Linked DNA regions of Struthio camelus. The main gene of each other region encodes a partner of the protein of the gene in region 2 in a complex. Links are inferred from orthologs where the notes say so. Each region holds a gene or a part of one and is shown on either strand. Other genes may lie near its edges. The genes, in order: KANSL2, KANSL1, PHF20 and KANSL3.

Evidence for each region.
Region 1: KANSL1 (region 2) and KANSL2 share a complex: the UniProt entries of both Homo sapiens proteins name them as parts of the NSL complex. The link is inferred for Struthio camelus from reciprocal best matches to the Homo sapiens genes KANSL1 and KANSL2.
Region 3: KANSL1 (region 2) and PHF20 share a complex: the UniProt entries of both Homo sapiens proteins name them as parts of the NSL complex. The link is inferred for Struthio camelus from reciprocal best matches to the Homo sapiens genes KANSL1 and PHF20.
Region 4: KANSL1 (region 2) and KANSL3 share a complex: the UniProt entries of both Homo sapiens proteins name them as parts of the NSL complex. The link is inferred for Struthio camelus from reciprocal best matches to the Homo sapiens genes KANSL1 and KANSL3.

The regions. Positions count from the first base shown.
Region 1 is NC_090969.1:1,056,994-1,064,283, forward strand, and holds the start of KANSL2 (KAT8 regulatory NSL complex subunit 2), read left to right. Parts: upstream 1-4,288; 5' UTR 4,289-4,480; coding exon 4,481-4,727; exon of another isoform or gene 4,728-4,798; coding exon of another isoform or gene 4,799-4,808; coding exon 4,809-4,859; intron 4,860-4,934; coding exon 4,935-5,196; intron 5,197-6,228; coding exon 6,229-6,407; intron 6,408-7,048; coding exon 7,049-7,163; intron 7,164-7,290. UniProt on the Homo sapiens protein: Non-catalytic component of the NSL histone acetyltransferase complex, a multiprotein complex that mediates histone H4 acetylation at 'Lys-5'- and 'Lys-8' (H4K5ac and H4K8ac) at transcription start sites and promotes transcription initiation.
Region 2 is NC_090966.1:4,396,989-4,404,809, reverse strand, and holds the start of KANSL1 (KAT8 regulatory NSL complex subunit 1), read right to left. Parts: upstream 3,007-7,821; 5' UTR 2,947-3,006; intron 2,182-2,946; exon of another isoform or gene 2,066-2,181; 5' UTR 1,906-2,065; intron 1-1,905. UniProt on the Homo sapiens protein: Non-catalytic component of the NSL histone acetyltransferase complex, a multiprotein complex that mediates histone H4 acetylation at 'Lys-5'- and 'Lys-8' (H4K5ac and H4K8ac) at transcription start sites and promotes transcription initiation.
Region 3 is NC_090959.1:1,298,330-1,306,330, reverse strand, and holds the start of PHF20 (PHD finger protein 20), read left to right. Parts: upstream 1-4,999; 5' UTR 5,000-5,141; intron 5,142-7,613; exon of another isoform or gene 7,614-7,653; intron 7,654-8,001. UniProt on the Homo sapiens protein: Methyllysine-binding protein, component of the MOF histone acetyltransferase protein complex.
Region 4 is NC_090968.1:1,247,941-1,255,909, reverse strand, and holds the start of KANSL3 (KAT8 regulatory NSL complex subunit 3), read left to right. Parts: upstream 1-4,968; 5' UTR 4,969-5,019; coding exon 5,020-5,237; intron 5,238-7,428; coding exon 7,429-7,599; intron 7,600-7,969. UniProt on the Homo sapiens protein: Non-catalytic component of the NSL histone acetyltransferase complex, a multiprotein complex that mediates histone H4 acetylation at 'Lys-5'- and 'Lys-8' (H4K5ac and H4K8ac) at transcription start sites and promotes transcription initiation.

The DNA.
Region 1 (7,290 bases), on a different chromosome or scaffold from region 2:
CATTTTACAAATAATTTAAGCAGTAACTTATATCTTAGTGTTTTTGTTCATTTTAATTTTGTAATGCTGGCAGGTGCTGCAGGGGACCCTCGTGAAGGGCTCAGGCTGCGTCTCGTTGGTCAGGAGGCTCCGTTCGAGCTGTTGGCGATGGAAAGTGGCTCAGGAGCTTTTCGGGGATGGAGCAGAGGAAGTGGTGCGAGGAGAGGGCAGGAGCTGGAGGCAGCTCGGCCGGGGCAGCGGAGGGAATCCCAGCTGCTGCCGACTCGGGGTAATTCGGAGTTGCTCTGCCTGCTGTTGTTTCAGTTTCCTCATCTGCAAAAGCGGCTCTCGTTTAGGCTGTCTCTCCCTCTCTGAGCGAAGGGGGAGGATCCGGTATCTTCCTCTGTCCCTCAGCTCTTCCCCTCCTGCTGAACGAGAGACTGCCTGGCAGGTCACGTTGCTTCTGCTGAAAAATCCCCCCTGAAAGGTGGCGGTTCATGGGAGAAAGGTGCATGTTGGAGGTTGTGGCTTCTGGGGTGATGGTGAAGGAGAGTCTCGCCAGCCTCACCTTGCGTGTTACCTGCTTAGCAGAAGGGCCAGGAGTCAGCATGGCGCGGTGAGACCTCGCTCACCTCCTGGTGGTGCGGAGCTGATGCGGGAGAGGGAAGCAGGGGTGCGAACGGGGAGAGCTGTGAACGGGGTGCGTTTAAGTCATGTTACGGATCGCGATTCTTAACATTGGCTATGGAAAGGGCTGCGGAAACGTTGGGGTGTTGGTGGTGGTGTTTCGTGGCAGCTGGTGCGATGTGAACATCCAGGGCGAGGTGGTTGGTGACTGCGGGCTTGGCTGAGGGCCTGTCTGTCACCTCAGGTGGCGGTTTTGGGGAGAGGGTCCGGAGGAGCTGCCCACGTGTGGCTGGCCTGGCCCAGCACTGCTCGGCTTCTGAGGCGAGGGGCCTCGTATGCGGAGTGGGCTTGTGCCCAAGGGGTGCCCGGCTGGGTTGACGGAGAGCTGCATTGGAGCTGGCTAGAATGATACCTTGGCAGAATATCAGCTTAACGTGAAATCTAGGAGTCCATTTGCAGGGTGCCACTGGCAGCTGTGCAGGAAGGGTGTGGAGCTGGCTGGACCACAGCCTGGGAAATGGTGTTTCGAGCATGTAAGCCACGTAGAGCCTAGTCTGGGTATAAACGTGAAATACGTTGACAGATGTGGTCTGTAGTTGCACAGGGCTTAATCTGAGAGGAGCTGCATCGCGGGTCTCGCAGTTGGGAAATACGATGAAAATGGGCAAGGCGGGCAGCTTCTGAGCGACTGCAGATCCTCCTCGGCTCTGGGCCCGGTGTCAGGCACAAGATCCTGCTGGCTGGACAGGGAATCCTGTGTGCACTTTGCTGTTCGCAACCCTTATCTCTCCAAGTTGGAAACCTAGCTTTTACTGCTACCTAAATCCTGGAACAGGGAATCCAGCTGGAGGTGGGAAGTTTCAGTCTAACGTTTTGGAAAAGCCGACTTATTTTCTTCTCGGACTATACTTTTCCAAACTTCAATAAACGTACTGTCTCCTTATGTTTTTGTGAAACTCTGTTCTACATCCAGTTCCTCTTATTTTAAAGAGCAATCAGTAATGCTAACCCTTGCCAGTGCCAGCTTGCTGGAGCTGGTCAACCACCAGGGTAACCTCTTAGGTACAGAGTTTATGTTTGAAGCTCCCAGCAGAGATTTGTCTCTTGCTTACCTGGGTGCTTTGAGAGCCTGCGCGGCATGGTTTGTCAGGCGTTGCGGCGAATCGTGCTGCCCTTTCCCTTATTCAGTAGGGGAGCAATTCCAGCTGCAGCCTTCTCTGCAGGGAGGTATCGAGTGTAACGCGCTAGTGAGTCTCTGCGCGTGTCCTGGAAAACTTGAGCATCTTCAAGACGAGCTACACGTCTGGTTCTTGTTGCTGCAAAAGCCTTAACTGCAGGGTCACTGCCACACTGGCTGGAGACATCTGCCACAAGCGAAGGCGTCTCCTGGGCAGGTCTTAAGCGTTTAGTGCCCATTCAGGCCTACGCGTGGAGGCGAGACGGGTGCCCTGCACCTCTGTCTCGCAGGCGGTACCAGCAGAAGCAATCCTCTTCTGAGTGATTTCTGCGTCCTTTTGTTTAAGGCTGCGCTTGTGGTTTGTGTGGCTGTGAGCTGGTGTTGTGTTTGGGCGCGTGAGATGGGGGATGCGCGAAGGCCCTCAGCGTGGCCGGGGGCTTTACCTCCAGGGTGGATTCAGGTGATAGGACAGAGGAGGTTATTGGACGCGAGTTTGGGCTGTCTCTGGGTTTCCTGCTGCCGTGCTTCAGGCTATATTCTTGAACGCGAAGAAGCTTTTCCTGGGCACCCCCAAAGTGCGTCCCTCTTCCTTGCCGGAAAGAGCCTGGGGCGTTTGTCGTGTACCGGCAGAGAACACCTGGCCGCAGACCTAAATTTTCTTTTTCTATCTAAAGCTGTTTCTGATTTGTACCTGCCACCTCCCCATGGGGGGGCTTGAGGGGTAACACGAGCCTCCCCTCATGCTTTCCTCTTCCCTGCTCGGGCGAGCGCTGGGAGCGAGAGCCGAAGCCAGGGTAAGGAAGGTGCTTTTGAGTATTATTCTTAAAACATTTATAAATATTTAAACTTCGGGAAACTTTTTAAAAACCAGATAGACGTGTGCTACCTGCTCTAGCCCGTAACCGGTGTTAGAGCTTTCCCTCCTGCAGGGGAAGGGGCAAAGGCAGGGGAGCTCCCGGGGGAAAGGGGGGGGGGGGCGGCGGCCGAGCCGGTGCCCCGCGGCCACCGGGAGCTTTTTGCCTTCCCGGAGCCAAAATGCGAAACCTGCTTCCGTCTCTCCTCTCTCACTCAGGGCTGCCGGGTGCTCGCAACCCCGCTTCCCCCGCGGCGGGGCCGCGGCTGCGTTGCCTCCGCTCACCGGCTGCAGCGGCCGCCGGTAAGGGCGCCCGGTAAGGACACTCCCCCCCCCCCCCTTCCCCGGGCACGGCGCCGGTGCTCGGTCGCTCGCGGGCACTGTCTCTCGCTGTGTATTTATCCACATCAATAAAAGTGAACGGCAAAGGAGGCAGCCGAGCTGCAGCGCTGTGTCCCGAGCTCTTCCTTGGCGGCGGCGGCGGCGGCCCCGCGCCCACGTGTCGGTTCCCACCGCGCCCCCCCTCCACGTGACCGCCCAGGGGGGAGGAGGCGTGGCCGGCCGCTGAGCGGAGGGACGGCTCGCTCGGCCAACGGCGTGCGGCGCCGCCCCTGCGGCCGCCGCGGATTGGCGGCGGGGCGAGCCAGTGAGGCGGCGGGAGGGGCGGGCGGGCGCGCGCGGCGCAGACGGCGGCCAGGCTGGGGCGCGAGCGAGGTAAGATGGCGGCGGCGCCGCCGCCGCCCGCCCCGAGCAGAGCCCGCCGGCCCCGCCGCCTGCCCGCTCCCCCGGTGGCTTCTTCCCCACCCGTCCCGGCCGCGGGCACCGATCCCCCGCCCCGTCCTCCGCGTCGACGCCGCCACCTGGGCCCCTTCGGCAGCCCCCCTCACGCCCGCCGCCCGCGGACAAAATGGCGGCGCCGGGGCAGCCGGGCGGCGCGAGGGCGCATGCGCGGGCCCGGCGCGAGGCGGGTGGCGGAGCACGTGCGCGGGGAGGAGGCGGCGGTGCACCGGGGGGGGGGGTCTGCACGGGGGTGCACTAGGGGGGTGCACTAGGGGGGTGCACCGGGGAGGAGGCGGCTCTGCACGGGGGTGCCCCGAGGGGTGCACCGGGGAGGAGGCGGCCGTGCACGGGGTGCCCCGAGGGGTGCACCGGGGAGGAGGCGGCCGTGCAGGGGGTGCACTAGGGGGGTGCACCGGGAGGTGCATCGGGGATGAGGCGGCCGTGTACGGGGTGCCCCGAGGGGGTGCACCGGGAGGAGGGGTGATCTGCATGGGGTGCACCGAGGAGTGTACCGGGGGGGGCCATCTGCATGGGGGTGCACCGGGGAGGAGGTGGCCGTGCACGAGGTGCACCGGTAGGGGGGGGATCTCCGGGAGGGTGCACCGGGAGTGGAGGGGAGTCTGCACGGGAATGCACCAAGGTGTGCCCCGGGGGTGTACCGGGATTGGGGGGATCTGTACGAGGGTGCACTGAGGGGTGCTCCGGGGAGGAGGCGACCGTGCACGGGTTGCACCGGGAGAGGGTAGGATCCATACGGGGTGCCCCGAGGGGTGCACCGGGAGAGGGGGAGAACATGCACGGGGGGGTGCCTGAGGAGGAGGTGGTGGCCGTGCAGGGGGGGCACACCAGGAGGAAGGGGGACCTGCACGGGGGTGCACTGGGAGAAGGGAATCATGCATGGAGGTGCCCCGGGAGTAGGGGGGGCCAGCACTTAGGGGTGCGCTGGGACGAAAGCATCCTATACTGGGGCTTAGCTGGTGACCTGTGAATTGGGAGCATGGGGTGCTGCACTGAGGGAGTGCAAAGGTGGGGGTGAGGATTGGGCACTCGAGAAGGAGGTGTATATGGGAGGGTGTTTGAGGGGTGGGGGGTCCTGCACAGGGAGGAAGGTGCCTGGTATCGAGGGACTGGAGGGAATGGTTCTGTATCGGGTGGCAGATCCTGCACTGGGAGGAAGGGGTTGCATATTGGGATGGTGGGGTTGGAGCGGTTGCCCGCTGGGGCGTGGAGGGTTTGTGCAGAGAGGGAAGGGGGTCTGGAAAACGTACCCCTGGCCACGCTGCTGGCAGGTGGCAACGCTTGGAAGCTCAGGTACCTAAGTGAAGCATGTTTCCTCTGCCGCCGAATTGGGGTTACTGTGAAGTCGAGTTTCCCATGAAACTATGTCTGTAGGAACAGTTTCTCGTCCCAGGAGGACAAAGAGTTTTATTCAGAAGTTGGCAGGTATTAGCAGAGACTGCTCTTTCTTTTTATCAGTCGTTTGCTTAATTTCTTTTAATTGGAGCTGTATCTCTCTAGCAGGTGTTGGCATGAACAGAATTCGGATCCATGTTTTGCCGTCAAGTCGAGGACGCCTTACTCCTGTGCCGCGGCCCCAGGAACCTCTGTCATGTGCCTTTACTCACCGCCAGTGTTCGCAGCCACGGCTGGAAGGGCAGGAGTTTTGTATTAAGCATATTCTGGAAGACAGGACTGCTCCTTTCAAGCAGTGCAGCTACGTTTCAACAAAGAACGGAAAGCGGTGTCCAAACGCTGCGCCCAAACCAGAGAAAAAGGATGGGTAAGCATTTCCATTTCCCAGTCCTTTGCTCTGTACTGTATAGAGTTAAAAGAGGCAGAAGCAAGAGTACCATGGGGTGAAGGCATAGGTCTCTGCAGGTCCTTTTCCTTATTCTGCTGCTGCGCTTATGTTAACCTCAGACAAGTGATTTTCCATTTTTGAAGCATTGTTAATCCAGCAGAAAGACTGTGAGCACTGAGAGCTCTGCATGGAGTCTTTTTGGTCCTGCAGGACTATCAGGCTGCTGCCCTCTGTCATCAGAAGGTGGCTGTGCTGTTTCAGGAGCCAGGGTGCTTGGTGGGAGCTGCGGTTGCATCCGCATGGTGCTGCACCTGAGCTAACCCTGGCAAACTCGAGTTGTCTGTGTCTGTGCTTAGGGTTAATCCTCAACACAGATACTCTGGTCATGTATTACAGATCCTCTGGTCATGTATTATTTGGAGTTGATGACCTGGTTGTGCTTGTTGTTCCTTGATGCGTGTAAAATGTTCCAGCTGTTACAGATGAAAAGGCCTAGAATAATTATTGACACCCAGTAAACACGTCAGCAGAATGCAGTTATTGGAGCGTCGGCCTTTATTTACTTCCCAGAGGTCACTGAAATTTGAACGTTAGCAGTCTTGATTCTGCCCTTGGTGCCTCTGCGATAAAAAGGATGCATCTAATGTGGGCCAACGTGCTCTGCACGAAAACTTTAAAGTCCAGCGTGAATGTTTGGAAGCAGTTTACCTCTGCGGCTTGAAGTAAAAAGCCCTTTTCTCTCCCTGCTGCTGTGCCATGTGGCTGCCGGCTTCAGTGCCAGAGGTGGCGTTTTATGGTGGTGTGTGGTCTGCGAACCACTTGGGGCTCTCTGGCATTTCTGAACGATACCGGCAGCCGGTGATAGATGGTTACGTTTTGCTCACGAAGGGTAGCTGTGGAGTGGGGTATGCCTTCCAAATGGCAGGGAGCGTTTCTCACTGTATCGCTTGTTCGTTTTGCTGGCTGACTGAGAGCTTGGAGTCGTAACGTGTTTTTGATTTATTTGCTCAGTGTGTCGTTCTGCGCGGAACATGCCCGTAGGAATACTCTGGCACTCCAAGCTCAGATGAAAAAGTCCAATCCTGGACCTGTAAGCGAGACTCTCCTTTGCCAGCTTAGCTCTTACGCCAAAACAGAGCTGGGCTCCCAGACTGCAGAGAGTAGCCGCAGTGAAGCCAGTCGAATCCTAGGTAAGAATTTAACGTGAAAACCGGTGAGAGAGAACCAGGAGTTCTCTTTTTTGTTTGGAAACGCCAAGAACGTTGCTTATTAAATCCAGTGGTAGAAAAGGGATCCTGGGGTCTGTGGCAAAAGATCGTGTCCCACACCCCTGTGTGTTTTGCCTACCAGTGACTGCAGATAAGTCACATTATAGGTATGTCCCATCACCAGGCCAAAATCTTGTGGGTTCTCTTCGGTAGACGTGTCTGGAAGCTCCCCTCATTGCTTGTTTAGTCTCTTGCTGTGCCTGTCAAACACTGCTGTTAGATGTGTCTGTTCCCTACAGCTCGGTGGTGAGCTTCCCATCTTGCAGGGTCACTCGGTGGGGAGCCGGCAGGCGGTTCGTGGTTCTTAAGTAGGCAAGAATGTTACTCCACAGGAGCTGTATATTTTGGCTGCACATAATTAATTGGTGGGTTTCCTGTTGTACCATATTGCTCGCTCACGTTGTGTTGGGGAGAAGTTTCTCTTGGAGGAGAGACAGAGCTGGCTCACCTCCGTACTTGCCGTGGAACAGCCTCCCCCGGGGTCCCTGGCTGCCCTGTGCTGGAGTAACAAGCCCTGGGAAGCAGGGCAGGGTCCTGCCTCTCACGGAGACTTGTCTTTGCAGATGACGACAGTTGGAGCGACGGCGAGCAGGACCCTATCACAGTGGACCAGACGTGGCGAGGGGACCCGGACAGCGAGGCTGACAGCATTGATAGCGACCAGGAGGATCCCTTGAAGTAAGTTGGGTGGTGGTGGCGGCTCCTAGCTGGTTACGCGTGTCCTGCAGAACGCCCTGAACTCCGGGTGATACCAGGGTGGATGGCGGTTATGTTAAAGCGATGACGTTATTAATGATGTTGCAGT
Region 2 (7,821 bases):
CAGTTTAGACAGCATAGGAACAGGAGACATACTCGTACATTCAGGAAACAAGGTCCGACTATATCCACTTCACAAGAAGCCAATACCTCTAAGCAAAACTGCTGAGAGGACAGGAAAAAGTCTGACACAACTACTGTCTGCAGATCTTCCTTGGTACGTTCTCCAGCAGACTTTGGCTAGCTATATGCAAACCACTGTCACAGGCAAACCTCCCTCCTCTCAACTCCTGCCAGCTCGAGGACAGTAGAGAGGATCTGGTGTTATCTTCCTGTGTGCCCATTGCTGATCCACTCAGTCGGAAAAAGCAGACATCTTTAGTACCCCTCCTATAACCAAAAAGGAGGTTCTCTCTCAAGCTGCCAGGCATAGGTCCAGGCTGCACGGCACAGAGACCACCAGCAGCTTTTCTAGCTAGCAACATAAGGATGACATTGCCCTTCAGTTCTGCAGCAGTTTAAGCACTTTAACATTTTACTTTACTGCCCCTCCTCCAAGCTTCCTAGACTGAAGCACAAGGCTAATTAACTCAGATTTTTAATCAGAACATTTTGTTGCACAGAGCAACACTACTTTCAACTGTAGTAGACCCTCATTAGTTGGCATATAGCACACTTAAATCATAGGACTGACAACGTCTTAAGGCGACACAAGTATCCATGCAAGTGTCAAACTTCATACAGCCCTATAGTAGGTTTGGCCAATACGTTGATCTCTGGCGCTTTTGAAACAGGGACTGATCTCCAGAGAAGCGGCATGATGACTTCCTATCACTTTCAGGAGGAGTTGTAGGAACACAGACTTCTGAGAAGAAAGCGTTCACATTTAGCGATAACCTCCAAAACCTGTAACAGGGAGCTTTATTTTCTTATTTAAAGCCCACACAAGAACTTACTGTTATTAGGCATACACAGAATAAGAGCCTTTACTGTTGTGTTAGCCAACTGGAGATCAGATACCAGAGCAGATTTGTCTAATGTCAGTGTGAAAGGATTGAGCAAAGATTTTAGGTTTTCCTATTACAAAAGAATTTGTCTAAATTCAGTCCTCCATAATCGGACTGAAGTCAGGCTGCTTTGGCTTGTAGATCCATGAAAAAAGGGAACTATCCTTCCCTTCTATGTTTCATTTCAGCTTGTATTCAGATTCACTAACTTGATTATTATACCCAACTGCTTAGGACACAGCTCTTTTACTGTAATGACATTATCAGGATAACACATGACTTCTCAAAACAAGCACCAGCAAATCCTCACAACCATCCTTCCCAGATACAGTAGCACTATGGCCACTTCACACATGGGAAACCCAGAGGTTTGGGAAGGTGAGCAGATTTGCCCATCCGAGAGAACTTCAGTTTTCATGGGACAAAGCCAAGTCTATTAGGCCACACTAAAAGGTATACACAGAAGTCTCTTGAAATTAGAAATACACATAGAAGCCAGACCATGTCAGCAAGCAAAAGGAATCTGATAGCTGTAAACCTCTGTTTTAAGGATGCACATAGTAAGGGAACAAACAGAAGAGATCATTCTTTTTCATGGCAAGTCACACTTCTACATCCAGATGTAGTACATGAGGACAGGTAATACCAGGAAATACATACGTATACTGCCAAGAGGAGGCTGCACATCTCCTCGCTACATACGGGCATTAGAACCGTTTTTGAGAGAAACGCTCTGCGTATATGGAACGAAGCCACCTTTTCAGCCGTATTCCTGAACCTCCATGTTAAAGTTAAACATTTGCCAGGAAATTAGCGCGGAGGACCGGACTCTTCTCGTAAAATCAGAAACTAAAATAAAGCCTGTGAATACAACTCAGCATCTCAAACTCTGGTAGTTTTGCAGTGGGCGAAAGTCTAAGATTCTAGCTTACAATGGAAGAGCAAAGAACGGGAGCTCTTACCTCGCTGGACATCTTGGTAAAATCCATCCTCACCGACGGTAGTTCAGCAGGGACACCCAGCAGCGCGGGGAGGGACTTTGAATCCTTCCAGCCTCGACGAATTCCTGGTAGGTCTGCGAGTTCTTTATTTATTTATTTGAAGAAGTGGAAAATCCAGGATCTGTAAGAAGGGGTTGGGGGGGGGGGGAACAAAACGTAATTAGAGGGAGCAAACGGAGAGACGGCCAACAGACAGCACACCGACTTGCTTCCCTTCGCGGCGTCGTGCCGCCGCCTGCTCGACGTGCGGGGCCGGGGCGGCGGCGGCCGCGCCCCCGAGGGCAGCGCCGGGCCGGGCCACCCGCCGCCGGTCCCCGGCAGCCGCGTCCCACCGGACGGCGGCGCGGGAGGGGGGGGGGGGGGCTGCCCCCCCCACCCCGAGGAACGGGCTGAGCTCCCAGATCCTTCTAGAAGCCCCCCCCCCCCGCCCCGGGATCCTCCGGGGCTTCGGTTTCCTTCGGAAACCGTTGGGCTAAAATGGAGGCTCGGGGGGGGGGGGGGTGTTGCGCTCCCCCGCCCCGCACGCAGCCGGCCCCGCCGCGGCGGCCGCGGGACGACGGCGGGGCGGAGCGCGGCGGAGCTCGCCCCGGCGCCCCGCGCCCGCCCGGGCCCTCGGGCCGGCCCCCCCCCCCCCCCGGCGTGCCCCGGCTCCCAACTCACTCGGCGGCCGCGCGAGCCGCCCCCTCCCCCGCCTCGGCCTGGCGTCTCGGCTCCGGCCGCCGCCGCGCACCGGCCCGCGCCCCCCCCCCCCCCCCGCAAACGAGTTGCGGGACGGCGGCGGCGGAGTGGGGGGGGGGGAAGGGAAGGGGGCCGCACTACTTGGCCTGGCGCTGCCCGTGGGCAGCAGCGCGGGGAGCAGCGGCGGGTCCCCTCCGCCAGCAGCGTGGCGGGGGTCTCCCCCCCCCACCCACCCACGGCGGGTGGCCCCGGGCCGCCCCCACCGGGAGGGGGGGGGGAGGGGGGGGGCACCGGCCCCGGCGGCTCCCACATCCCAGCACCTACCTGCACAGCTCAACCAGCCTTGAAGTGGGGACCTTCCGCCCTCCTCCCCTCCCATTGGCTGCGCGCGGGGCATGGGCCCGCCTGGTTGGCCGGCGCCCCGTCAGTCAGCGCCGGGGGGGCGGGGCGGGCGGTGATTGATGCCGGTGCTCGGCTCGTTCCTGCCTCTCGCTTGTGTTTCCCGGAGAGGCTGGAGCCGGGGGGGGGGGTGAGGGGCACCGGGCCGCCCCCCCCCCCACACACACACACACACTGCGGGGCGGCCCCGGCGGCAGCCCGCGGCGGCGGCGGGCGGTGCGGGCCACCCTGTTGCTCTCGGCATCGGCCGCCGCCGGGGTTGGGGGGGGGGGGGGGCCGCAGCCGGCGCCCCCCGGGGCTGCCCCGCGGCCCGGCCGGGCCCGAGGCGGGCGGCGGCGGAGCCTGTGGCCGCCGCCCGGGCCTGTCCCCGGCGGGCTCTGCTGTGACACGGGCCGGCAGCGGCTGCCCCGGGCAGGGCCCGGCCGAGGCGCGGGCTGCGGCGGGCGAGCCGGGCCGGGCCGGGCCTCACGGGGCCGGTCCCGCCGCCGCCACGGGCCCGGCGAGGGAGGCGCCGGCGCTGGGGCCGCCCTGCGGGGGACAGGCCGGGCCTGGCGGGGGGTGGGCCGCGGCGGCCTCGCCTCAGGGCCGGCGAGGGGGCACGGGTGCCGCCGGGGCCTCGTGTCCCGCTGGGGACCGGACAGTCGGGTCCCACGGGTGACACGGGCCTCGTGTCCCACTGGTGACAGGACAGTCGTGTCCCCCAAGTCACACAGGCCTCATGTCCCGCGGGTGACACAGGGCTCGTGCCCCACAGGTGACACAGGCCTCATGTCCCACTGGTGACATAGGGCTTGTGTCCCATGAGTGACAGGATGGTCATGCCCTGCAGGTGACATGGGGCTCATGTCCCACTGGTGACAGGACAGTCGTGTCCCACAGGTGACTCAGGGCTCATGTCCCACTGGTGACAGGACAGTCGCGTCCCACAGGTGACTCAAGGCTCATGTCCCACTGGTGACACAGGGCTCATGTCCCACTGGTGACAGGACAGTCATGTCCCACAGGTGACACAGGCCTCATGTCCCACTGGTGACATGGGGCTTGTGTCCCATGGGTGACAGGACAGTCATGTCCCACTGGTGACACAGGCCTCATGTCCCGCTGGTGACAGGACAGTCGTGTCCCATGAGTGACTCAGGCCTCATGTCCCACAGGTGACATGGGGCTCATGTCCCACAGGTAACACAGGCCTCATGTCCCACTGGTACTAGGACAGTCATGTCCCGCAGGTGACATGGGGCTCATGTCCCACTGGTGACAAGACAGTCACGTCCCATGGGTGACACCAGGCTCCCATCCCCCAGGTCCCGTAGGCTTCTGTCCCACAGATGACGCAGGACACGCAGCCAGCCAGGGAGGGACATGGGGAGGGTTAAGCAGCAGCAGCGGAAGAGCTGAGCGCGCGAGATGGGGACAAGGGGGCGAAGAGGAAGCGCTGGGAGAAGGCACGACAGAAGCGCACAAAATGAGGCAGCCTGGGAGGCTGCTGGCGAGCGTTTGGGCTGCAGGAGGGCCGGAAATAGCCATTTCTAGCATTTGTAGGGAGTGTTAGCTCCCTGGATTGCTGGTGGAGCTGAGCTGCACGCACGCGCTAAGCAGAGGGTCCCAGGGTGGGAGGTGCAGGGAGAGGCACCCAGGGGACTGTCATCTGTCTGCTGTCATCTTCACACGGGATCTTTACGCTGGGACGAGTTGCTCGGCTTCGACGTGCTGCCAACACCTTCTGTACGTCGTTCTCTGACCTCAGCTAAAATGGTTTTGAAACTCCTTCCTGCACTTTGTTCTCCTTCAACAAGTGGTTCAGATCTTCATCTGAAAACTGGAGACTGTCCCAAGCAGTCCTGCTTGGCCAAAGTGGAAAGGTGCAAGCCTGCAGCAGATCCAGACCAAGAAGAGATCAGCTAACACGAGGAGAGCACTCGCTGCTCTGTGGGTAGCTCTCTGTCTTTGGCCACATCTGTGCTCAGGAAACGGTGCGCCTTGGCTGTCGAGTGAATTAAGTTGGAGTTTCAGTACTGTAGCAGACTAAAGTAACCCCAAAGCTGCTCCCTGGAGTTTATCATGACCCACTAACTTGCCCAAACGCTGCAACCTGTCTGGTGAACTCTACCGTGATCGTGCATCTTACAACGTCACATCTTTTCTCCCAGACAAGGTAAAGCCTTCCCCTGATTTCTTCTTATTCTGCCTTCCCACTTGAGTAGACATAATTGATGCCGTGGCGCAATTTATCCAGTTGCTGCCACTAGGTTTTTTTTTTTCAGTTTAGTTTTTATCCATTTCATGAGCTGGTTTTAATTCAAATAAAGGCAAGAATCCATGTCCAGCAGGTCTGGGACAAGATAAGCTCCTTTGAGCTTAACCGATGGTCTGGAGTTTCCTAAAGCAGCAATCCTGAGATGTTTTAGTCGTGTCCTAAAGAGAGAATAGCTGAAATGCTTGCAGCTTCTAAGGGATCATTATGTCTCAAGCAAGTTGTTAGGAGAGAGAAGCCAACATTTTTGCATATGAGAAATACCAGAATACAAATATAAAAAAGGAACTGCACTTGTTTCAGACAGGCAGCAGTGAGGTCCTGCAGTCTTTGGTATTCTTTGTGCACTAATTGCCAAATTAGTATATGATGCCTTGTATTGGGAGCTTAAAGCAATGAGAGTAACATAGTTTAGCACTCTAGATTTCCAAGGTGTCCAGAAACTAGTCAGTTGACTCTATGATCCTTCCATGCGACAAGAATTAGTATTTCCATTTGGGGAAACCGAGGCAGAGAGGACATTTAAGTTGCTCCAAATGTGTTAACAGCAGAGTCAACAGTAACGGTTCTTAATGCCATGGCTCCTCCCCAGGACAAGCCATCGTAAAATACCTCAAATGTCTGAGAAAGAGTGAGTTCTGCTGGATATTTCAAAGGAAGAACGTCTCAGTTCTAGCTCTGTGGGCAAGCAGCAGAGCTGTGATGGACACCTCCGGATCCATTTTAATCTCGAGCTTCCCTTCACCTCCCCAAAGTCCAGGTAGTTCCAGCCACCTGATGGTGCTGATGGAGAGACACTGTTAAAACCAGAGGCTTTGCATGGGATTCGCTGAACGTTTGTAACTCATCTAGTGTGTGGAAGCAGATCGCCTTCTGTGTCAGAGGATTACCATGCATTCGTTACTAAATGCAGGTAGTCTTTTGCTGTTGAACAGGTATTTTAAGTTTTAAGGACCAAAATGACAGTTGAGTTTCAGAGGAAACTTCAAGTAAGACCATTTAGATGCTGGCCATGCTCCTGTTTCTTCAAGATTGGCTTCTAACTTTTCTAAGCGTGTCTAATAATATACATCAGCAGCGGAGCTGAAGCTGGATTTCAGCAGATTTGCAACCCCTCCTTCCAGGAAACCCTGCTGGGGGGACCCCCCGGTGCCCACAGCGGTAACCAGCCGAAGGAGATGCTCCTCCGGGGGGCTATGTTTGTGCAAATGGCTGAAAATAACTCGTCAGCTTTTTTTTTTTTTCGACGACGTGGGCTAAAAGCGTTACCCTCCTGCGACAACTCAGCTCGTCCGTCTTGGGCGCCGTCTTCAGAAAAACGCGGCTGAGCCGCTCGCGCGCGGGTCTATGCAGAGGACTGGATACCGTGCAACCAAATCTCCTCCGGCGGTGGAGGTTGTTCTCTGGCGCAAGACAGCTCCTCCGGTGGGGGGAAACGTCCCGACCCGGCGCCCCGGGCCGGGTTTGTCCTACCCTCCGTGACGGGAGGTACCCGGCTCCCGAATCGGTGACAGAAAGTACGTCCGCCTCGCCCAGCTTGCTCTGAAGGCAAGCGCCCTCCTGATGGCCTTCGAAGGACCCGCGGGCACGTGGCGTGGACTTCCGGCCCTGCTGAATTTCCTGGCGAAACTCCTCTGCGTTTAAATGAAAGTTCACAGACTTCTGACGCGGAGCGGCCCCTTTTCGCCCTCCTCTACCTCCCCGGCCCCGGGAAGGGCAGCTGGCGCGCGGTGTTGGCCATCGGGCCGCGGACACCCCTGTGGCGAGGAAGCCGGGCTCTGCGCAGCGCTGCCGGCGAGGAAGGGCCGTCGAAAAGCGGTGTTTTCTCCCCCAAAACAAAGCTGAGGGCCGCAGCGCCGGCGGAGGTTCGTCACCCCCCTGGAGCGCGTGTGTCACCCCCCCCCCCGGCGTGGGTGTTTCGGGGGGGGGGATCGCTGCGGTCTCCCTCGCCGTGGGGACGCCCCACGAGGAGGCCGCGGCCCTGGGTTACCTGCCTCGCGGCGGTGCCCTCGGGCGAGACAGCGGGATGCGGCCCGTCTCCGCCCAGCGGGAGCGCCCAGAGGAGCGGCGGCGGTGGCGGTGACGGCGGCCGGACGCGGCCTTGGCCGGCGCTGCCCTCGCCCCAGGGCGAGCCGGGCCGGGCTGGTTGACATGGCCGCCGGGCCGGGCGGCGGTGGGTGCGCTGGAACCTTCCACGGCCCAACCACCGCGGAACCGCCAACCCGCCGCCCTCCCGTCCCGTGTGGGACATGCCATGGCCGCCCCATGTTCCCATCCTCGTGCTGGGCACACATGGTCACCTCATGCTCCCACTCCCGTGTTGGGCACACGTGGTCGCCCCATGTTCCCGTCCCCGTGTTGGGCACACGTGGTCACCTCATGCTCCCACTCCCGTGTTGGGCACACGTGGTCGCCCCATGTTCCCGTCCCCGTGTTGGGCACACGTGGTCACCTCATGCTCCCACTCCCGTGTTGGGCACACATGGTTGCCCCATGTTCCTGTCCCCGTGTTGGGCACACGTGGTCACCCCATGTTCCCGTCCCCG
Region 3 (8,001 bases), on a different chromosome or scaffold from region 2:
CCCATCCTGCCTTGTGCAAAATCTGGTGCTTTCTGAACTCAGCCCTTACCCTGTTCAGATCACAGGCAACAGCAGCAACCAGGTCTCCGCCAAGGGTCACAGGGGGGTTGTGGAGGGCAGGGATGGGGAGAAGAAGCAGGCCCTCTCTCTTTTTTGCATTACCTGTTTACTCTTAGGGCAGGACAAATACACAGAAGAGCACAGGACAGCCAGACCACGTTGCTCCAGGGACCGCAGAGGGGCAGATGGCCCCAAGAGGAGGAGGAGGAGGAGATGAAGGGGGGGGCTACAGCTCACCCCCTCCATGGATCAGCACAGCGCATGACCAGGTGTGTTGACGCAGAAGTGCCCATGTGTTTGCATGTCTCCCCCACACCGCTCCATGGATGCGGCTGTGCCTGCCCTGCCTGAGGACACAGGTTGAGGGTGGATTTCCTTCCCTGGAGATATGCAGTGGGTTCCCAGCCTCTCTAGCTGCTCTGGCCAATAAAGCAGGAGCGAGAAACCAGCCTGAGCTATAAACTGCCCAGACACGGAGTGCAGCCGTGAGGCAGGGGCACTAACTTGGCAAGTCCCTCCTCCCCCACCTCTATGTGCACCTTGGGACCAGGCCCAGAGTTCAGCCAGACCTGAGGGGACCTCCAGCAACACCCTAATGAAAGCAGGTATGATCAGGGGTGAGGCACAGCGAGAAGAGCGGGACACTGGACTGGTGCATGCACCTTGGTGTAAGAGGGCAGGGACAATGCCCAGCTGAGTCTGTAAAAACTCCACTGACCTGTGCTGGTCCTCATCTAATCCCCACCCTGGGCAGACTTTCTGCAAAATCCACTTGTGGGACAGTCCCAGGTCCCCTCTGGGAGAGGGGAGCCCAGCCTGGCAGTAGATGAGCTCAGGGTTCCCGCACCCCTGGGAGCGGCAGCTTCCCTGCTGCCGATGAGCTGCTATAATACAGACAGCAGTGACCCCGCGTGGGCTGCGCAGAAGGCAGCTGGGGGCTCCCTGCCTCTCACTGGCAGAGGCCCTTGTGCAGGCAAAGATAAACCTCTACAGGCACAGAGCCACCCTCTCGCAGCTGCCGTGCCGGTCCCTTGGGTAGCTCATCAAGGAGGAAGGGAGTGTCTTTTGCATGGGATGACACCAACTGATGCAGAGGCTGGCCTTGCAGACAGCTCTGCTGGAGCTGGTTTAGCCTCCTTTTATAGTCAATGCAAGAGGCATTTTCTCAGCACAGTTCCTCTCATGCTGAAGCACAGGCAAGAGGCTGGTTGGATGTTTTGCCCTTGCCACATGCCTGATTTTCTCTGTTGAGAGATGGGGAGGCTGGCTACAAGCTCAGCTCTCCTGCAGGCGAGGGAAGTGGCAGGGCCTGGAGTGTACTTTCCACCAGTTTAGCTGCCTGTGCTCAAGGCCAGCTCTGTATGGCTGGCCATGAAGGGAAAGAGCTGGAAGAAACTTCTCTGGGATCTTCCTCTTCTTCGGGAGCCATGTCTAAGCACATGCCCTCACCCCTGGCCTCTACCTGAGCTGTGTTAGCCATGCATGTGCCTGGCCATGGACTTCACTGAGCTGGCCTCTGCCCCTGTACTGAGGACTAACTTCCTGGCTTGACCCTGGACCTGATTTGACTGATGATCTGGCCTCTTGGCTGACCCTGGACCTGCTCTTGCAGGACCCTCCTGCACAGAGGCTACACCATGCCAGGGCTGGCACTGCCCTGCCATCACCTTGGCTCCGGCTCGCCTGTCCCGGCGGAGCAGCCTGATCCTGCTGCTCCCTGACAGTAAGTCAGGGTGGGTTTATTCCACCTCTGATGTCAAATGAAAATAAAGATTGTGCGAGTGAGGACAGGATCTCTTTCCAGAGAAGACAAGCAAAGGATTATTGATCCACAAAGCTTAATTTGCCTGCAGGTATATTTAGTGATTTCTTTGATGTGTGGGGAAACATTGCATCCCAACTGACCCAGATTAGCTGAGCGGGTTCTCTTGGAGAGGGCCTGGGATCTGTCTGCGATGCAAACGAGTACTTCAGTCCGGTGTGCTGCAGCGGAAGCTCTTGCTCCGTTTGTGCTGGGCAGCGGCAGCCCCGCGGCAGACGCAGCCCTGCCCTTCGCTGCAGCGGCCGGTGCAAGGGAAGCGTTGTTTGCTGGGAAGGGCTGCCGCTCTGTGGTCAGCTCAAACAGGCAGGTACGGCCAACGTTTGAGAGCTTCCGGCAGCGTTAACCATGAATGCCGACATCAGATATTAAATCTTAAGTCTTGGACAAGCCACGAGGAAAAAAAGAGCACAAACTGGCATAGCCATTTCCATGGCTTGCCAAGAGCAGTCGGCTCTCGGGGAGGGGGGGGGGTGAAAGGGCGAAAGAGCAAGGGATTACTTCCCACAGCTCAAAAACAGTGAGATTAGAAAGACCCGCTTCTACAGAGAAGGAAGTGGTTTCTGATATATACCTTTTCATAACAGATGTTCCAAAATTCAGTGTTTTTTAAAATGATGAAAACTCCTTAATGAAATACAGTGCTCTTAAAAAACAAATACAGAAGCAGTACACTGACATTTTAGTGAGAGTTAAAAAAAAAAAAAAAAAGAAAATCTATTTCCCTCAAAACTTTGGAGTGATTTTTCTTTTTAGCTGCTTCCTATTTTAATTCATTCTGAATTGTTTTCTCCTGCCTCCAGACACCTTTAGTGTTTAAACCACACACAAGATTTCCAGGCTAAAAAAAAAAAAAAATCAAACTCATAAGCTTAATTTTCTGCCACATTTTTTTTTTCTGTGATGGTATTTATAGTAAGTCATTCTGCTTCCACAAATTCCCAGTGCACAGCTCACAAGCGCTGCTTTATTAGAGAAGCGTAAGCGGGCAGGGAGCTAAACAGTGCGGGGGGGGGGGGCGACTCTGCCTTAAACCCACCTTTGTGCGCTCTGGATCCTGCGCTGCTCAGGGCGCTGGGGTGAGGCTGATGTCATCGGAGCAGCCAGATTTTTTGCAGCATCAGCACTTTCTGTGGGTATTTGGGAGGAGGAAGACAAAGCAGAAAGGCATTTAGAGTCAGGATTGTGCTTTGCCCACTTACTCCTTTGCACCCAACCCACACTCTGGCGATACATGGCAGGGAGACAGGGCATGCCAGTACTTGACTTTTCTGGTAAACTGAAAATTAAAAAAAAAAGAAAAGCAACTCCTTTCTGATGGAAATTATTTTTTTCCAGCTTTTCTCCCTGAAATAATAATTTGTAATAGAAGTAATTATAAACATTTAATGATAGACTAAAACTTTACTAATTTAACTAATCACTTCAGAATTGTTTCTGCCCCATGATGAGCCCTTTTAATAAGGGGGGCTTGGACCCAGACGTGCCCCGCAGGCTGCTGTGTGCTGTCGGGAGGAAACAGTCGTCGCGGCTGGCTAATCTCTCCCCTGCCCTCCTCCAGAGCCGGTCAGTACCCACAGATTTCACTGCATGCTAATCCCCTTCGCTGCACATACCGTGGCCACAGCAGTTACTCTTTTTTTCCCAACAGCCGATAGGTAACAATTACGCACTTGTCTGTGCTTGGCCGCTGAGCACAAAAATGATGGATTATCTCGAGAAAATCACCTGAAGCAGAAGAGGTTATTCTCTCACAGTGACAAATACCGGAATATTTGCAGTTGAGAACTTCAGCCTGCAAAGATTTTTGCTCTTCTGTATCAGTTTGGTTTTGGCTTTAACCTAGCATAAAACTCAAATTCTTCATCTTCTTTTTTTTTTTTTCTTTCATTGGCTCTGTAAAATGCTGTATCTATGGAAGAATGCAGAGCTCCCTAGCTGTACAAAAGTGTAGCCAGCAGGTTGAGGGAAGTGGTAATTCCCCAGTACTTGGCACTGGTGAGACCTTATCTGTGTCTGGTTTCGGCCCTCCAGAGCAAGAGACGTCACCAAACAGGCCCAAGTCCAGCGGATGGCTGCTAAGATGCTCAGAGGCTGGTGGGCGTGAGGCAAGGCCAGAGGAGCTGCAGGTGTTCAGCCTGGAGAAGGCTCCGTGGGGATCTGAGAGCGGTCTCTCTGCCTCCAGGGGGCTGTAGAGAGGACGCAACCAGCCCCTCCTCGGAGGTGTGCCATGACAAGAGGCAAGGGGCACAAGCTGCAAAAAAGAAAATTCTAGTTGGACATAAAGGAAAAACTTTTCCCCGTGAGAGCAGTGGCCCTCTGGGCCAGGGGCCCAAAGAGGCAGGGGAACTGCTGCCTTGGAAATACTCAAAACTCAACTGGATAAGGCCCTGAGTAGCCTGATTCGAAGATCGCCCTTCTATGAGCCATTACATTGCTCAGATTACATCCTCCCTAAATCCTTTTCTGTTTTTATGCTTAGGCAGACAAACAGACCTCAGAGAGGTGCTGAACCAGCCATCTGAGCAGCGAAGTTCATGGTGGACCCAGACTGCCAGTCTGCTTTCATTTTTGCTCATATTTCACTGTGTTTTATGGAGCTCTGAAAAATACAAAAGTCTTTTCCTTTACACTTTCTCTGAAAGGAAGCGCTTGTGGCGCTGCCAGTTGTGCACACGAGCGGCTCCAATTATTCCTTGCAAGCCAGCGTCTGGGATCGGTCAGCAAAGGACTTCACTGCTCTCACTGTACCCCCCGAAATGCCGTGTGTTCCCGCCTGCGGACCCCTGGCAACGGGGCCCGGCACGTTCTCATGCAGCAGTATGGCTTTTTCCTGCCATTTTCCCCTACTTTAGCTGCCGGGACCGAGCTTGTGGCCCTCTTGCACACAAGAGGAGCTTGCAATGGAGAGCTGCTGAGCCAGCGCAGGGTTTCGGGCCCGCCCGTGAAGAGCTGCCCAGCAGAGGAGGGCCTCTCCTCGGGCAGGCCTCGGGGGACCACGACGCCATTCCCAGCGCCAAGCTAAATTCGACGGGGCCGCGGCGCCTCCCGCCCCGCCCACCCCGCGGCCCCGCCCCGCCGCATCCGGCCCCGCCCCTGCCGCCAGGCCCCGCCCCCTCCCTCGCGGCGGCTGGCGGCGCCGCAGCCGTGGCGGCCATTTTGTGGCGCTGCGCGGTCGGTGGCGCTGGGCTCGGCGCGCGGAGCGGGGCCCGGGCGGCGGTTTAGCTCCTTTCTAACCCCTTTTTCCCGTACAGATCCCTCGGTAAGAGAGCGGCAGCGCCCGGGCGGGCCGGGCCGGGGCCGGCTGGGCCAGCGCCGCCTGCCCCGCGCTGCGGGCCCTGCGGCGGGGCGAGGCGAGGCGAGGCGAGGCGAGGGGAGGGAGGCCGGGCGCGGAGCGGGTGGCACGCGTCCCCGCGCACAAAGGGCCGCGCCGCGTCGCGCCGGAGCGGGCGGCTCCTCCCGGGCGGCCCCGCCGCAGTCCGGGCCCGATGGCGCCCGCGGCCCCCGGGGTGGCCGGGCGGGCGGCGCTCACGCCCCCGCGCGGCGCGGCCTGGGGCGCTGAGGCCGGGGGGGCCTGGGGCGCGGGCCGAGCGCGCTCCCTCCCGGCGCCCGCGGAGCTGCGCGGCCCGGCGCGGGCAGGTGAGTATGTGCGCGCCGAGCGCAGGCGCGGCGGGGCCCGGCCGGCGGGGGCGGCCGAGTGACCTTGCAGCGGCGCCGGGGCCGGCGCGGGGCCGCGGCGGCGGCGGCGGCGGCCGGGTCTGGGCGGCGCCGCGGTGGGCCGTATCCCGCGGCGGGGCGCGGGCGCGGGCGGGGCCGCGGCGGGTGGCTGCGCGGTGTCGCCGCGGGCTGTGGTCGGCCGGTGGGCGCGGGCGCGGCGGCGGGGGCCGTTGGCGGAGGCCGGCGCTGCTGGCGCGTCAGGAAGCGGCGCGGGGCGCTCCCGGCGGGTGCTGGCGCGGCCCGGGGGGGGCGCCGGCGGCCGCTTCTCGCCGGGCCCCGGGGGACGAAGCGGGAACAACCTTGCACGGGGCAAGGTACCTGCCCTGCAAGGTGTTGATTTCTGTAGGTGGTACCGTCAGCTGGAGGTTTCTGGCCTTTTTGTGTCAGCAGAAGTGTGGAATGCATCTCCTTCCTTCTGGTTTTTCTCCTTTCAGAAAGCCTTTTAAAAAGGGAGGTAAAGACAGGTCCTTGCAATGATCCAAAAGTTACCTCGTGTCATACCTGTTTAACATACAGAATGGGGAGGTGCTGTGTTTTTTTTTTTTTTTTTTTTTTTCCCTAGGAGATCTGAATTCCACTATACTGGCTTATTGCCCCACAACTGGATTATAGGACCAGTTGGCTTGAGGTGCACATGCATAGTATAATGGTTGTAGGGCTTGGTTAATTGAAGCAGGCTGTCAGTGCAATTTTGGGAAACCTTTACATCTCCTTTACCTATTTGAAGTCTTCCCAGTGCTAGAAATGCTTCTTTGATCCCAAGCTAGTGTTTCTAATTTAAACATGTGAAAACAGATCAAAAGGGATATTTGAGTGTGGATGAGTACAAACTGGGTAAAATATATTTCTTCCCTTCTGTTAGTGTAGGTAGTTTAATAATGTATGCTGTAGTAGATGAAACCCTATTTGTTAAAATACTATACTAATAAATAACTTGAAACAACTTTTTGTAGGCATCTGTGCAGAAGGTCATAGCTAAGAAAGTATGTAACAGAAATGCTTTTGATCTAGGTTTGTTTATTTGTTTGTATCTGAGTAAGGAATGCTTCACAGGACCTATTTCCAGAAAAGTGAAGTGAGAAGAGTTACGACAAGGATCGTTCATAGTGTGATTCTCTTTTCAATTTTTGTGTGTCTTAATAGTTCTGTAGTTGAAGAAGACTTGGACTTGTTATTTGATTTAAGTTAGCTTGTGGGAGAGTTCAGTTTATGTTCTGGCTGATAACTTTGTTAGTGTTTCCTAAATGGAAATAAAATTTTACTTCATTGTTCTGAGAGTAAAATCTGTTTGCCTGCAATCCAGGGTAATTAATTAAGGTCAAGTTGGGAATGAGGCTAGAATATTAATTGCTCATAACAGTGCTGTCTTGGCTGAAACTTAAGAAGCGCATAATTAATTCTTACTTTTAATTGGGTAAGTTCTCTGAAGCCACTCTTTTGCTCTTGTACATCCTGGATCACCTAGGCAATGATATTGACCTAAATTCTCCCCCTTGTTCAGGAAAGAGTGTGATCTCTAATTTATTTGTAGGGGATGTTAAGTTTTGTGTAACTGTATCTTTGATCTGTGACTGCATCTCTGGAAACTAAATGGTGTCTGTGGTTGTAATTTGTCAGACCTTGACATAAGCTAACACTGTTATAGAAAAGCCATATTGCCACTTCTCATTTCTGCCCATATGGCACTGTCCTGTGCAGATGTGAGCACTTGGGCTACAGCATTGTGAGCTGAGCTAAAGAATGTGCATGGGGGAGGGTTTATTGTTTAGCCCTGCAAGTGGTTGCCCTTGCTCAGTATTTAAACTGTGTTCTTGATTCTTGCCTAGTTGTGTGGGTGCAGGGTTTAAAAAAAAAAAATAGTTGTAGATATTTTGGATTTACTGTTGCATTTATATTGAAAAGTTTTGTGGAGCGTTTGTAGCGGCTCTGTCAGCAGTTCTACATGTCTACTTTTCTTTTTTTACTTTGTTTTATTTTTTTTATCATTTTCATACTTTTCTTACTTGCTTGTCCACAGGGTTGTTATCTTGTGCTTCCTGTAGAAAGACTTTCTTCAGGTAAGAAATAGTGACTAAGTGCTGTCATCTGGTGCTTACTGTCAAAATGCCAGTAGTAGCATGACCTATATCTTCCAAAAAACTTCTTGGGACTGGTGGCTTTTCAGGCAGTGTTCTTGTAAAAAGCATTTTTTGGTGGATGGAAGCACCAAATTTAACTGATCACTTGTGTGTAGATGTATAGTGTGGCCGTTCTCACTGACTGCAGATGCATGTGGCAGAAAATAGTGCATGTTAGTATGTAATATTTACTGTTTTTTGAGTCTTGCTAATTTGCTGACAAGCCTTTGTCTGTTTTTTACTGGGCTTGAGTACTTCTGGCCAACCTTGCTTGAATACAGCCAGCTG
Region 4 (7,969 bases), on a different chromosome or scaffold from region 2:
ATGCTGGGGTGCTGCAGAGGAGATGCTGGGGGGCTGCCGTGGGGATGCTCAGGGCTGCCGCAGGGATGCTGGGGGGCTGCTGTGGGGATGCTCAGCACTACCGTGGGGATGCTGGGGGGCTGCTGCAGGGATGCTGGGGGGCTGCAGAGGAGATGCTGGGGGGCTGCCATGGGGATGCTGGGGGGGTGCCACGGGGCTGCTGGGGGGCTGCCGTGGGGATACTGGGAGGCTACTGTGGGGATGCTGGGGGGCTGCTGTGGAGATGCTGGGGGGCTGCCGTGGGGATGCTCAGGGCTGCCGCAGGGATGCTGGGGGGCTGCTGTGGGGATGCTGGGGGGCTGCTGCAGGGATGCTGGGGGGCTGCTGTGGGGATGCTGGGGGGCTGCAGAGGGGATACTGGGGGGCTGCTGTGGGGATGCTGGGGGGTTGCTGTGGGGATGCTCAGGGCTACTGCAGGGATGCTGGGGGGCTGCTGTGGGGATGCTGGGGGACTGCAGAGGGGATACTGGGGGGCTGCTGTGGGGATGCTGGGGGGTTGCTGTGGGGATGCTCAGGGCTGCCACAGGCATGCTCAGAGGCTGCTGCGGGGAGGCTGGGGAGCCAGCAGCAGCTCGCCGGGCACCCGCTTACCCGCTGAGCAGAGCCAGGCGGATCTCGTCGCAGACGTAGGGGAGCTGGGGGGCAGGAGGGAGAAAGGCTGAGGCAGGGGCGCCGGCGGGCAGGCTCTTTGCGTGGGCGCTCTCGAAGCCTCGCAGCCCACGGCCCCGGGTTTTGCAGCCCGGCTGGCGCGTCTCACCCGGAGCGGGAAGAAGAGCACCTCGTTCCACTCGGGATTGGCGTTGGGCGGCACGGCCCGGGTGCGGAGCTGCGGCACGGCGAGCCGTGAGCCGCCGGCCTGGAGCATCGCCGCAGCCCGCCCGCAGCCCTCACGCCTACCGTCCTGCCGGCAAAGCTGATTTCCATGGCAAGGAAATTCCTCCTGCCGGTGGGCAGCGCGGATGGGAAATGTTGCCAAGCCGAATCCTCTACACCGGGAAAGGAGAGAGGCGGGGATGAGGCCGTGCCGGAGGAGCAGCCCGCGGCACCCGTCCCCGCGCTCGCCGGCGCTCACCCTGGGGCACGTCCTCGGCCCGGTAGACGCGGAGCTGCAGGGCTGCCACGCAGGCGGGGAGCGAGGAGGGCTGCAGGAGGTTGGCCTCCACGTCCTCGCTCTCGGCTGGCTTCGCCTGGTCCTGGCGGAGAAGAGATGGGGTGGATGGCGGCGGCGGCGGCGAAGCTCAGCGCCCGCCCGAGCGGGGCTGGCTGCAGGGACGCTCACCGGCGCGGGGTCCCCGGCGCGCAGCACGCTCAGGCTGACTCGCAGGTAGCCTCGGAGGCCGGCGTCGAGGCGGTCGGGGTGGTGGAGGCCGAGCCACTTCCAGGCGAGCGTCCGACCTGCCGGAGGCAGATGCTGAGCAGCTGCACCGAGGGGACCCCGTCCGCTGCCGCCACCGCCGTGATGCCCACCTACCGGGTGAGCTGTAGACGCTGCCGACGTCCAGCTGCGCGCCGGTGCGGGTGAGAAGGTGAGACGGCGGCCCTTTCCTCCGGCGCGCCCCGTCCGTCCCCACCCCGTCGCCCCTCACCTTGAAGACGCCGATGACGGACTCGGCGCGGACCGCCTGGGAGTTGAGCACCTGCGGGACCGGCCGCCCCGCGCTCCGGCATCGGCTGCGGCCCCGCCGGGGCCACCCGCGCCCGCCGCCGCGTCCTACCTGGATGTGGATGGGCTGCTCCAAGAGGCCGGCGAGCGTCTCGCGGAAATTCTGGCAAAACACCTGGGGAGAAAGGGGCCGGCAGCCGCAATCACCGCCGCTCACTCCCCGGCGCCGCTTCCCGCCGTCTCCCCGCCCTGTTTCCCGCCCACCTCGTCGTAGTAGGGGTTGTTCCCGCTCCTGATCCTCGTCCGGAACACGTGCTCGCCGATGAACACCTTCACCACCGGCTTGATGTTGTTCCCGCGCAGCTGGCGCCCTTCGATGATCCGCACTCGCACCTGGAGCGGGGACGCGATGGGTGCTGCGACCGCCCGGCCGGGAAAAAACTGCCGCAGTCTCCCCGCCGGTGCTCGGCGTTACCTGGAAATCCTGTTTCCTTCCCGACGCTTCCCTCCCGGGGCTCGGCCAGGGGGTCCCGCGCGGCACCTCTAGGCACAGCAAAAGGGGACGGCGCATTGTCGTCCCCGCGGCCAAATCGAGCGCCGGGGCGGGAGGAGGCGTCCTCACCTGCGGCAGCTCTGCTGGGCGCCCGCGGCGTCTCGTGCCCGGCGGGGACGTAGGAGCAGCTAAGGGTGACGGTGCACTGCGAAGCAACGTGCCCGTGAGCACCGCCGGGTGCCGCCGGGACGAGGAGGAGGAAGGTGCTGGGCGCTCACCCCCGTGGGCCGGCGGTTCCGGTCGAGCAGCGGCACGTTGCGCAGGGCGAGCGGGCGGCTCGGCTCCGCCACCAGCTGCCCCAGCGGCACCGTGGCGGCACCCAGGTCCCTGCGGGGCGACGGGCGGTGAGCGCGGCGGCAGCCCCGGCAAGGGTCCCCGTCTGCCACCACTCACCCGTTGGTGGCTGGGCGGCCCCACTGCCGCAGGCACAGCGCCACGACGGCGGAGGGCTCCAGCGGCCGGGCGCCCAGCGGCCACACCAGCGTCTGCGGGGACACGCGGGGCGTTGGGGCTCGGCTCCTGCCGGCCACCGCAGGAAAGTGATTTGCCACCATGGGAAAGCAATGCCACCACCACAGGAAAGTCATGCCACCACCGCAGGAAAGTGATGCCACCACCGTGGGAAAGCGATGCCGCCACCATGGGAAAGTGATTTGCCACCATGGGAAAGCAATGCCACCACCACGGGAAAGTGGTGCCACCACGGGAAAGCCACCACCATGGGCAAGTGATGCCACCACCATGGGAAAGTGATTTGCCACCATGGGAAAGCAATGCCACCACTGCAAGAAAGTGATTTGCCACTGCAGGAAAATGATGCCACCACCACGGGAAAGTGATGCCACCACCACGGGAAAGTGATGCCACCATCATGGGAAAGTGATGCTGATGCCACCGCTGCAGCCACGTGGCCTCACCTCGTTCCACGCTGTGTCGCGCTCGCCTGGCACCACTCGGGTGCTCCTGGGGACGCCTGGGGACAGGGAGGAGGTTGGGTGCGTGCCGGGTGGGTGCTGCCCGGAGGCGTCCCCCGTCCCGTCCCCCGTCCCAGCTGCTGGGGTACCTCTGAACTCGGCGCGCACGTGCACGTCGGCGATGGGCGCCCGCGGCGCGGGGATGCGAGCGCTGGCCACCACCAGGCGCAGCATGTCGGCGCAGGGAGCTGGGTGCTGGGCCGGGGCGCAGGGTGCCGAGCCGGGGTGCGAGGTGCCGGCGGCGCGTTCCAGAACGCCGGGTCACAGTGGGGGGACGGACGGTGCCCCAGGGTCCCTGTGCCAAGCACAGGCTGCCCCGGGCCTGCTGCTGCTGCTGCTGCTGTCTCAGGTCGTGGCGTGCCCCCCAGCACCCCATGGCACCCCAGGGCACCCCAGGGCACCTGCAGCACCTTGTGGCACCCTGTGGCACCCCACAGCATCTGCAGCACCCCACGGCACCCCATGGCAGCCCAGGACACCTGCAGCACCTTGTGGCACCCTATGGCACCCCACAGCATCTGCAGCAGCCCACAGCACTCCATGGCACCCCATGGCACCCCACAGCACCCCACAGCACTTGCAGCACCTCACGGCACCCCACGGCACCCCATGGCACCCTGCAGCACCCCACGGCACCCCATGGCACTCTGTGGCACCCCATGGCACCCTGTAGCACCCCGCAAGGCATCCGCAGCACCCTATGGCACCCACAGCACCTTGTGGCATCCCACAGCACCCCATGGTGCCCTCAGCACCCTGCAGCACCCCATGGCACCCCCCCTGCCCTCTCTGACACCCCCCAGCACCCTATGGCACCCTGCAGCACCCCATGGCACCCCCTGCACTCTGTGACCCCCCCCAGCACCCCATGACACCCCAAAGCACCCCATGGCACCCTGCAGCACCCGCAGCACTGTGTCTGCCTGCACTCGCGGGGGCTGGTGCCACCGTGTCACTGTGCCAGGCCGTACCCGTGGGTGCCCCGTGTCCCCACGTGTGTGCTGGCGTCCCGTGAGGGTGCGTACCCATGCCCCTGGGTCCTTGTGTCCCCACGGGGCTGTGTCCCCACGTCACTCTGTCTTGGTGTCTCAATGTCCCCTTGGGGGGGGAGGGTGTCCCCGTGTCCCCGTGTCCCCTGTATGTGTGTGTACCCATGTCACTGTGACCCCGTGCCCGTGTGTCCCCATGTCGCTGTGTCCCCGAGCTGCTGTGTCCTTGTGTCACTGTGTCCCTGTGTCGCCATGTCTGTATGTCCCCATGTCCGTATGTCCCCATATCGCTGTGTCCCTGAGCTGCTGTGTCCTCATGCCACTGTGTCCTCGTGCCACTGTGTCCCCATGTCTGCGTGTCCCTGTGCCTCTATGTCCCCGTGTCTCTGTGTCCCCATATCCTCATAGCCCTGTGTACCCCCGTGTCCCCATATCCCCGTGTCCGTGTGTCGCTGTGTCCCCATGTCCGTGTGTCCCCGTGTCTCTATTCCCCCGTGTCCCCGTGTCCCCATGTCGCTGTGTCCCCCTGTGTCCCCATGTCCCCCTGTGTCCCCCTGTGTCCCCATGTCCCCCTGTGTCCCCGTGCCCCCGCGCACCGGGCCTCTCCCTCACACTCCGCTCCGCCTGCATCCGCTCTCCGCGCTTTGACCGCGCCCCGCCGCCCTCCGCTCCGCTCCGCTCCGCCCGGCCTCAAACTCCGCTCCGCACTTTCCAGTGCGCGCTCCAGCCGGCCCCGGGCGGGCGGCGCATGCGCGTTGCGGCGCGGCGGCCCCGGCCCAGGCCCCAGCGGCAGGCGCGGCCCCCGGCCCGGCCCTGGCGCGGGATGCGGCGCGGGCGGCGGCGGCGGCGGCGCTAGCGGCCATGTCGCAGCGCGGCGGCGGCGAGCGGGACCTGCAGTGGTCGGCGCGCAGGATGGGGACGTCGCTGCTGCTGCAGCTGTCGGTGCACGAGCGGGAGCTGGACCTGGTGTGCCTGGACCACAGCTACGCCAAGCCCTGGAGCGCCCACCCCGACGCCAGCGCCGCCCGCCCCACCCGCATGCTCTTCGTCACGCCGCGGCGCCAGCCCGACAGCGCCCTGTGAGCGCCGGGGCCGGAGCGGGGGGGCGTGGGGGTGTCTGGGGGGCTGTGGGGGGGAGTGGGGGGCCTCTAGGGCGCTGTAGGGGGGAGTGGGGGGTGTCGGGGGGGAGGGGGGGCTGTAGGGGGGCTGGGGGGGGCTCCTGGCGGGCTCGGGGGGAGTGGGAGTGTCTAGGCGGCTGCTAGGGGGGGAGTGGGGGTCTCTAGAGGGCCTCTGGGGGGGAGTGGGGGTGTCTGGGGGGCTTCTGGAGGGGAGTGGGGGGTGTCTGGGATCTCCTGGGGGGCTGTAGGGGGGCTGGGGGGGCTCCTGGGGAGCTGGGGGGGAGTGGGGTGTCTAGGGGGCTCCTGGGGGGCGGCTGAGGGGGAGTGAGGGGTGTCTGGGGGGGCTGTTAGGGGGGAGTGAGGGGCGTCTAGGGGCCTGTATTGGGGCTGTAAGGGGGGAGTGGGGGGTGTCTAGGGGGCTGTATGGGGGAATAGGGGGTGTCTGGGGGGCTGTATTGGGGCTGTTGGGGGGAGTGGGAGGTGCCTGGGGGGCTCCTGGGGGCTGTAAGGGGGAGTAGGAGGTGCCTGGGGGGCTCCTGGGGGATAGTGGGGAGTGGGGGGTCCCTAGGGGACTCCTGGGGGCTACGGGGCCTGTAGGAGGGAGTAGGAGCCTCTAAGGGGCTGTAGGGGGGAGTGGAGGGTCTCTAGGGGGCTTCTGGGGGGGCTGTAGAGCAGAGTGGGGGGGTCTCGGGTACTCCTAGGGGGCTGGGGGGGCTGTAGTGGGGAGTGTGGAGTCTCTGGGGGGCTGGAGGGGGCTGTAGTGGGGAGTAAGGGGTCTCTGGAGGACTACTGTGGGGCTGAGGAGGCTATTTTGGGGAGTGGGTGGTCTCTAGGGGGGTGCTATGGGGCTGGATGGTCTGTAGCGAGGAGTGGGGGGTCTCTGGGGGGCAGTGGGGGCCTGCTGTGGGGCTAGGGAGGCTGTAGTGGGGAGTGGGGGGTGTCTGGGGGGCTATAGTGGGGAGTGGAGGATCTCTAGGGGGCAGTGGGGGTCTCCTAGAGGGTCGGGGGGGCTGTTGGGGGCAGTGGGGGGCTCCTGGGTGGTCTGTAGTGGGGAGTGGGGGGGTCTCTAGGGGGCAGTGGGGGGCTCCTGTGGGGCTAGGTGGTCTGGAGTGGGGAGTGGGGGGACTCTGGGGGGCAGCTGGGGGGTGTGCGTGCTGTGGGGCTGGACTTGGGTGCTGTGGGGGGACTGGAGCTGCGCGGTTTGGACAGACCTGAGGTTACGGCTGTGTTTGGAGTTGCAATCAGCCTGAAGATGTGGGGTGAGGTATGGGGGTGCGCTCAGGGTCGCAGCATGGGGCTTGAGGGGTCATGGCAGGATTCGGGGGGGGTCAAGGCTCAAGCGTTTGGTTTTGGGCTTGTGAATGGGCTTGAGGCTGGAGCTCAGGGATTTGGTGCCCGGCTTGGGATGTCTTTGGGATCAGGGCTCATTCGCGTCTTCAGTGTTTTTCTCCTTTGCTTTTGGGCCATGATCTCTGGGTCCTTTGCTAGGAAGTAGCTTCTCCCTGTCCTGTGTCACGGCCCAGGTGCTGGCCGCGAAACTCGCTTTCTTAAACATTAGTTGCTCAGCAGCTCTTCTGGCAGGAGAAGACCAGGCTTAGCAGGGTCCTCTAAGGCACGTTCATTTGTAGAGCTTAAAACAGGAAAAAAAGACTGCCTAGTCTCAGACCAGAAATGATAAGATACCTGCTTATGAAGCCTAGTGGCTAAAGTGATTAAAAACATCTGCCAGAAGCTATAGGTACTTTATTAAATATTAAGCCTAAGATGCTTCGGTGGTTTATATTCACACCATCTAAACAACTGTCCGAACAGCATTCGGTCTTGCAGCCTGAGTCAGGATTTATGGGAAAGAGTTGGACCCAAGGTCCCAGTTGGTTACAAATTCTTCTTGATTTTTATAGTGTAGCATGTCCCCACGGTGTGCTCTCCAAATGCAAGATCTCATTACAAAGAGTGCAATTCCACAGTAGTCCACTTAGTCGCAGCATCTTTGGAGAGAGATGTGGGAATACGGACAAAATAAGTTCACGGGTGTCTCGTGCGTACCTGGGGCAGGTAGACACAGATCCCTGAGGCATCAGGCGCGCTCTCTGATCCGCTCAGGTTTTTTCCAGGTTACATCCCGTTTTCTAAAGTGAAATTTTCCTCACAGCGAAGCAGATATCCCCATCGATGTCGAAACAGTGACGCCCACGCCTGTGCCGCTCTACGACAACCAGAAAGCCCGCAGTGTGATGAACGAGTGTGAGCGCCATGTGATGTTTGCGCGCACGGATGCTGATGCTCCTCCTCCGCCAGATGACTGGGAGGAACACGTGAACAGGTAACGCGGGGCGCCAGGGTTGCAGAGGAAAGAAATTGTGATCCTAAGTAACTATCCATGCAGTAGCTGTGGCAGTTGTGCTTCGGGGACTCATCTTGCTGGTTACATTGCAGCACGTATTAGTATATAAAGCCGCAGCCAGCCAGAGGATGGTGTAGTGCCAGATGCTGTGTGAAATGCAGTTGGGGCCATAAATATTTTAGAAAAAAAGCAGAAATGGAGAGGAAAATCGTGGTACGGAGCAGTGAGGTGACTCTTCTGTGTCTGCAGCCGGTGAATGAGGGCTAGGGAGGACGAGTCGGCGTGCTGAATCCGGTCCAATGCAGCGCGTGCTTGACTACGCTCGCTTTGCGTTCTCTGTGTTCACTGA